Ovis aries: one gene and its partner. The protein of the gene in region 2 interacts with the protein of the main gene of each other region in a pairwise test. Links are inferred from orthologs where the notes say so. Each region holds a gene or a part of one and is shown on either strand. Other genes may lie near its edges. The genes, in order: RBM5 and DHX15.

Evidence for each region.
Region 1: the proteins of DHX15 (region 2) and RBM5 interact in binary tests that used the Homo sapiens proteins (3 or more experiments, as listed by UniProt). The link is inferred for Ovis aries from reciprocal best matches to the Homo sapiens genes DHX15 and RBM5.

The regions. Positions count from the first base shown.
Region 1 is NC_056072.1:50,279,314-50,283,128, forward strand, and holds part of RBM5 (RNA-binding protein 5), read right to left. Parts: intron 3,335-3,815; coding exon 3,174-3,334; intron 2,722-3,173; coding exon 2,624-2,721; intron 2,012-2,623; coding exon 1,924-2,011; intron 1,762-1,923; coding exon 1,684-1,761; intron 1,601-1,683; coding exon 1,528-1,600; intron 655-1,527; coding exon 569-654; intron 181-568; coding exon 96-180; intron 1-95. UniProt on the Homo sapiens protein: Component of the spliceosome A complex. Binds to ssRNA containing the consensus sequence 5'-AGGUAA-3'. Regulates alternative splicing of a number of mRNAs.
Region 2 is NC_056059.1:44,755,548-44,759,462, forward strand, and holds the start of DHX15 (ATP-dependent RNA helicase DHX15), read right to left. Parts: upstream 2,454-3,915; 5' UTR 2,292-2,453; coding exon 2,221-2,291; intron 1-2,220.

The DNA of each region.
Region 1 (3,815 bases), on a different chromosome or scaffold from region 2:
CCCGCTGATACCCACAAAGGGAGAGGAGCGCTTATTAAACAAAATCAACAACTAGGACCTTCCAACTGTCAACAGCCCCATGAGGTTTGGCTTACCATATTTGGTACCAGGAACTACACCAGTAGGGGAAGCGGCTGGGGCCTGTGTACTTGTGCTAGTGCTAGGCTGTGCTTCCTCAGTCTGGAAAGAACAGCAGCTTCAATATAGTTTCAACTGTAAAGCCTCTCAAGAGAACTAAATCACTGCAATCATCCAGCAGGAAGGGCCCCCTGACAGACCCACTGTAGCAATGGTCTAGGGCAATCCTTGAGCAAAACACATGCTGACAACTGTCTTCCTAAAGGTCAAGCCGAAGCATGCACAGTATAAATAGACCCTATGTGGAATCTTGCATTTAAAATACAGACACAAAATTATTTCAGTACATAATATGATTAGACAGAAAGAAGTAAAGTTGGAATGTGTATGTATCAGTCAATCCTGGCTTACACAGTGAGAAAAGGTAGTACTTGTACAGCAACAGTTTCCCCAACAATCACCAGTTCTATATCTAAGATGACAGGATTACCGGAGAGCCGGGTGGGTTGGAGGTCTGATTATACAGCTGGGGACTCTGGGATACAACAGCCGCTGAGGTCGTGGTCACCGCTGTGCCTGATGATAAACACCGGAGTTACAACAGCCAAGGCACTGAACTTTACACCAAACATCCTCACCCGGAATGCCCAATCTAGAGTCCGTCTTTGTATATGTCAGTTCTTAACCACCTAATTCCCAGTAAGTACTCTTTAACCTATGATATTCTCATTTATATAATCCTACTAGAATGTGATACACAAAGTCAGACATTCTGTATGATGGCTAAGAAGGGGAAAAAGGTTTCCACATCTGCTCTGGGGTTGAAAATAGACTTAATTGTCACACCTTTGTAACACTGGAACAAAAACTAGAGCAATAGCTTTTAAGAGTGACCCTTCTAATTGATGTCTGGACAAGAAACTGCTCAACTGAACTTACATGGGCACCCACAATTGCGAACAGCACAGAGAGGGAAAATACTGAATTCAATTCAAGAATGAACACTCATGATGGCATAGTCTCTAAGAGCTTTGTATCAGCTCCTGATATGCACAAGTGTTAGTCGCTCAGTCCTGTCCGACTTTTGTGACACCATGGACTCGAGACCACCAGGCTCCTCTGTCCGTGGAATTCTCCAGGCAAGAATGCTGGAGTTGAGAAGCCATTCCCTTCTCCAGGGAATCTTCCTGATGCAGGGATCAAATCCATGTCTTCTGCATTGCAGGTGGCTTCTTACCATCTGAGCCACCAGGGAAGCCCACTGCACAAGCAATGCCAATATCGCCCCAGAAGCTTAGGTACATGGTGACATCCCTGAAAGTGCCCAATCCCCCGTTTTACAGGGAAATGGCTCTCCTAGATTTATTTGGATCTAATGAGAACATCTAGCTCTATGTCCTCAACTGTATTTGCTTAAACAGGAGATAAAAAGAATATGAAATCTATTACCTGATGCAGATGATGCATCGGATTCTAATCCTCCAGCTTGTTGCTGATAAAACTGTTGGTAATCCTGTGAGTACTGAAGAAGAGTCCACCATTAAAGCTGCCATTCTTGGACATACTCTGGAGACCAGAAGTCAGATAATGGTCCAGTCTACCCACCTGAGCATACTGGGCATAGCCATCTTGGCCTGGCTGCAGGTAACTGTAGTCCACACTGCCTCCTTCACCACTCTGAGACTACAATGTCAAAAGAAGAGGAAACACAGACAGACTTAGTGCACACTGAGGTCTTCAAATGTCCTTGCAGAGCTTCTAAGGCAAGCACAATCACAGAGCTGACTTCTATGAATCTGGGCACCACCACCACACTACCTGGAGCAAAAAGATCCTTCCCTTTACCTGGGTGGATGACCACTGAGCAGCAGCAATGGCTGTACTAGCCACGGAGAAGGCGCTGACCCTGTTACCATCTGGTAGGACCAAGTCTCTGAAACCACAAAAATCCAACCATGTGACTTTATACCACTATGCTTCCCTATCACTTAACCCCACGCTACCCAGAAAACAGTAATCCACTCCAGACTTTACAGGAAGGTCTCCAATGCCAGCAACACCACATTTCAGAGTGAGGAAGGGTTTCCAAAGGCAAAGCCCTTAGTGGGCATGTGTCCCTGTAGTATAGCTGCTTTCTTTTGTACTCTTCTATTTAATAAGGTGTCTACTTGATGGGCAATGATACTAGAAATGGGAAATTTACATCACTAGAATGAAGCTCTACATACATGAAGCTGTATTAGCATGCTGTTGTGGAAGGAAAGAATTATTTCCAGATGGGTTTGCACCATTCTGAAGCAGTTTGCATAGCACATATTCTCAACCCATCTACCAAGTCTGTTTTGTCCTGCTCTCAAGCTTTCTGGCAATTGGTATTGAGGATAGGAGGGAATAAGTGCTAAGAAGACAAGTGCATCCTTCCCAGCCAATTAGGAAGGATTCCATCGCAGTACAGAGAACATGGGCTTCGAGTGCAGTTAGCAGCGCATTCTCGGACAAGCATGCAGATGCAGCGGTTTGAAGTAAGGGCAATGAAGCCACTCACTTTCTGGCACTTTTTGCAAAATCAACCCCAATAGTTTTGCCATCAATTTTCAAAGGAGGATGGAGACTCTGTAGTATCTGCAGCAGCTGAGAAGCATCCTGCAGGAGAATGTGAAGAAAAACAATTTTGTGATTTTTGTCATGCAACTGAAAATATCTACCACCTATCCTAGTCAAAGAAATTAAAAAAAAAAAAAAGGCAATTCATTATTATCTGTGGATATGAAATCGTGAGAAATTTTAAAAAGCCCTCTTTCAAGGTATCTAGTATTATTAAAGGAGCCAGTGCTAGGTCAATCTAAAAGCATGAAAAAAGACTAAATTGTGGCTCAGACTTCAGTTCAGCCAGTTATCTACAGGTATACCAATGGTATTTTCACCACTTACTAAAGCCATCGGCCTATAATTTAGCACTGCAATAACTATCATTACTTAAGTCTTGAACTTTGGGCTCCAAGAACATTAGACGTAGGTAGCATCACAACTGGATGAACTACATTTGCCTCTTATCTCAGTTTCTTTTAAAAGGAAAGATTCAATGAACATCTCACCATTGCAGAAGACAGCTGCACAAACGCGAAGCCTCTGTTCTGCTGGGTCTGTTTGTCTTTTATGAGGCGAATGTTATTGACAGCTAAGGACGCGTAGGGAGACAGTGCTGTCATGATGGAATCCACCACAGTGTGTGGAGCTATGTTTCGAAGTATGATTGCTGCAGGTGAACGAGACAAATGACAGAGACATGCATTTCTACCACCAATGCCTTTCAAAGCAGATTCAAGTACAAACAAACCCATTTTGGGAGGTTTCCAGTATATCTGACCCTTGAATGCAGGGGGATGAGGGGGTGCTGACCCCACTCCCGCCACGCAATAGAACATCTGTGTATAACTTTACAGCCAGCCCTCTCTACTGGTAGTTCCACATCCCCAGACTCAGCCAGTAATTAGTGTAGTACTGTGTGTGCTTGGTCGCTTCAGTAGTATCTAACTCTCTGCAGCCCCATGGACTGTAGCCCACCAGGCTCCTCAGTCCATGGGGATTCTCCAGGCAAGAATACTGCAGTGGGTTACCATGCCCTCCTCCAGCGGACCTTCCCAACCCAAGGACTGAACCCAGGGCTCCCACACTGCAGGTGGATTCTTTATTGTTTGAGCCACCAGGGAAGCCCAGTGTAGTACTGTAGCATTCAT
Region 2 (3,915 bases):
TGATAGTCAACAAATTTAACTTTTAAAATTATTAAATGGGGTGGGGGTGGGAATCCCAAGCACTTATAAACACTGTAAACTCACTGCTAGATGAAGTTCTATGAGAAATGACATTCAAGTGACATAGTAATTACTATACAAATGCCCCACCAAAACATCTCAGAACTGGAGTTTTATTTCAAAGATGAACTCTCCTTCATCTACAGGTAGATGTCATTTATAATACCCAGGAGAATCATAAGTTCACCATGAAAGACCTGAAAAGTTCATATTTTTACTAAAGATGCCAGATTTACAAGAAAAAGGGCGCAAATCCATGTCCCTATCATGGGACCACTAATCCCAAGCACTTGAATGGTGCACATATATCATAACATAAGTGAATTCATTTATTGTTTTCCAATTCAACTCTGAGAGAGAGATTAAGATGCTAAGCTGCACCTTAGCCAGATGACAAGCAACTTACTTTTGCTTCACAGGAACAAAGAAGCAAGTGTTCCCTACTTCACTAACCCAATATACACGTCACTAAAACAGGCTGTAATGACTCTGAACTAATCATAGTCTGTGTGCTGTATTGGAAAATGCAAGAAGCAAACTGAAAATCAAAAGATCAAGGTTCTAAATTCAGCTGTAAACCGAAAGGTTGCACAAGCCACCTTAACAACTCTGGGTCTCCATTCCTCATCCCTTGAATCCCTTGAGTGTGAACAATCATACTCTCCTCTTTCAAGTGACTTCCAGGTCTAAAGAGTTTGTAAAATTTTGATGTGTGTTATGAGGGGGCGGGGTGAGGGTCCACTGCCGAAAACGACAAAACTGACATAAACACTGGAAACTAAAAAATTTACAAGATTAAAATCTTACATACTTATACTTTCCGTATTCAACACATGAAAAGATATCAAAAAGTACACCCTATCCTGGCTTATACTCCCCAGACACCTCAATCAACCCAAAGGAAGGGAGAGAAAAGAGAAATTCAAAAAAGTTATACAGACTTGACACAGCGATTCTGCACAAGTATACACACAGTACTATGCAAAATTATGCAAAGTATTGAAGGTATCCAGACTTTCAAGTCTCTTGCCTGAATTATTCGAATAAATCTCTGTACATCAGGGAATAAAGTACACACAGAACAAGAACTTATTTTCGTGCAATTGCGAAAGTCAATTGTTAAATTTCTCTGCATCTTGAAAAAAAGGCCGAGTAGGAAGAAATCGGAAAACACCTGTGTATTTCAACTCCCAAGCAATCTCCCCAAGGGCGACATTTTGCCGTTTTAATACCAGACACTTTTGAAAAGGATCTTCTTGTTTCAAAAGCTACTTATGAATGAGGGCGGGGAAGAGGGACAGAAAACAAGAACTCACAGGAAAAAGAGAGAGACTATCTTCTAATATCTATCCCAGGGATAACCCTGTAACTACTGTTTCGGCCAAAGCAGGAAATAAAGGAGATGGCGGGAGCGTGGGCACAGAGCGGAAGTTTGCCTTGTACCTACTTTGAAGTGTTTGAATGGACCGAGGCACGCGCTCTCCCGCCAAAGTATAAACTCAGCGGCCCCAAATCACCAGCTGCTACCCAAAAGGTATATTCCACAGTTTTCTTTTCTCACGGATGGCCCTCTACTCTCCCATCCCCCGGTAACTCCTCGTCTGCACGCCTCACTCAACTTCCCCCACCCCCGCCTACACCAGAATCCACGCGCTTCTCTCACTTTTCGGCCTCCACTTCTCCCCTTGCTGGGCACTCAGCCTCCCGCCAAGGCCGTCTCCCAGACCCCGCTGCCCGAGAAGTACCTAGTGCCCTTGGAGGCGACTACTCCTGCCGCGCCCTCCCCCACTCTCTCCTCCGGATCCAGGCCTTACCGGGAGCCCAGACCACGAGGTCCGCGGTTCCCTCCCGTCCGCTCCCCTCGAAGTGACTCTCGCTCGACTCCGCCCGGGGAGGAGGCGCCCCAGTGACCACGCCAGGCCTCTCCGCTCTCTCCACTGGGCCGGGCGGCGGCCGCGCCACTCAGCTCCCCCGCGCCCTTGCCGGGCCGAACGCCGGGAGTGGCACCGCTCTCCCGCGCCCCGCCGCCAATGACCCGAGCCGAAAGCGAAACAAAGCGTCGGGCCCCGGGGTCCGCTCGGCCTGGCCCTCCCTGGCCCGTCCGCCGCCGGGACCCCAACAAAGCCCGAGCCCTTGCCTCGCGCCCCCGGCCTGGCTTACCCATCGGTCCCCGCACGCTTCTTGCCGGAGGGGTAGTCCTCCCCCAGGTCCAACCGGTGTCGCTTAGACATTTTCGAACTCTTCGAGCAGGCGGTTATGAAGGAAGAAAAAAAAGAAACCCTCGCGGCTCTATCCGCGCAGTCGAGGGCACCTTCTAAACTCCGGAGGACCCCCACCCCTCCCGCTACAACAGCCTACACCGTGCGGCCGGAACCAGGAGCTAAAATGGCGGCGGCGACGAGGGCTGGGCCTGCGCGCGCGCTTCCGCGGTATGATATGCGTGCGTGCGTCTGTAGAGCGCGCGCACGCAGCGGAGGCGGGAACTCCAGCCCCGCCCGCTGCCTCGCAGGCCCGCCCTTATTCCTCCGTGCCTGGCTTCTTCTTGCCACCACTTTCCGCCCTCTTGGTGGGTGCTAGGCGGGTTGAGCCTTTGGGTCGTTCATGCCCTTCTGATTTTGGAAACTGAGAAAAGAGAAAGTCTAATGCTGAGTAGGTGATTCTATGCATTACCCTGGCATTAGGGGGGGGCAGGGCTAGGACTGGAACCCAATTATAACTCCAGGTCTGGAACTTGAAACTGCTGAGCTCAGCTGCCTTGAGGAAACTGAAGTGAGAAAATGTCAAACTTACGGTAATCAGTTTTGCCTTCAAAAAAAAGAAAAAAATTGTATCTGGGTATAGTTGATTTAACATTTTGTCTTGAAAAAGAAAAAGAAAGAAAAGGACAATATGCAGTCTATTGATGTTTTTACTGGAATAGGGAAAGTTGGCAAAAAAGGCGTAACTTTTTCCTGCATGCCTGTTATGTGCTTCCAAGGGATTCCTGCCCACAGTGATAGATATAATGGTCATCTGAATTAAATTCACCCATTCCAGTCCATTTGAGTTCAATTCAGTCGCTCAGCTGAGTCCGACTCACGGGGACCCCATGAATTGCAGGACGCCAGGCCTCCCTGTCCATCACCAACTCCCGGAGTTCACTCAGACTCACATCCATGGAGTCAGTGATGCCATCCAGCCATCTCATCCTCTGTTGTCCCATTCTCCTCCTACCCTCAATCCCTCCCAGCGTCAGAGTCTTTTCCAATAAGTCAACTCTTCACATGAGGTGGCCAAAGTACTGGAGTTTCAGCTTTAGCATCATTCCTTCCAAAAGAAATCCCAGGGCTGATCTCCTTCAGAATGGACTGGTTGGATCTCCTTGCAGTCCAAGGGACTCTCAAGAGTCTTCCCCAACACCACAGTTCAAAAGCATCAATTCTTCGACGCTCAGCTTTCTTCACAGTCCAACTCTCACACATCCATACATGACCACTGGACAAACCATAGCCTTGACTAGACATACCTTAGTCGGCAAAGTAATGTCTCTGCTTTTGAATATGCTATGTAGGTTGGTCATAACTTTTCTTCCAAGGAGTAAGCGTCTTTTAATTTCATGGCTGCAATCACCATCTGCAGTGATTTTGGAGCCCAGAAAAATAAAGTCTGACACTGTTTCCACTGTTTCCCCATCTATTTCCCATGAAGTGATGGGACCAGATGCCATGATCTTCGTTTTCTGAATGTTGAGCTTTAAGCCAACTTTTTCACTCTCCTCTTTCCCTTTCATCAAGAGGCTTTTTAGTTCCTCTTCACTTTCTGCCATAAGGGTGGTGTCATATGCATATCTGAGGCTATTGATATTTCTCCCGGCAA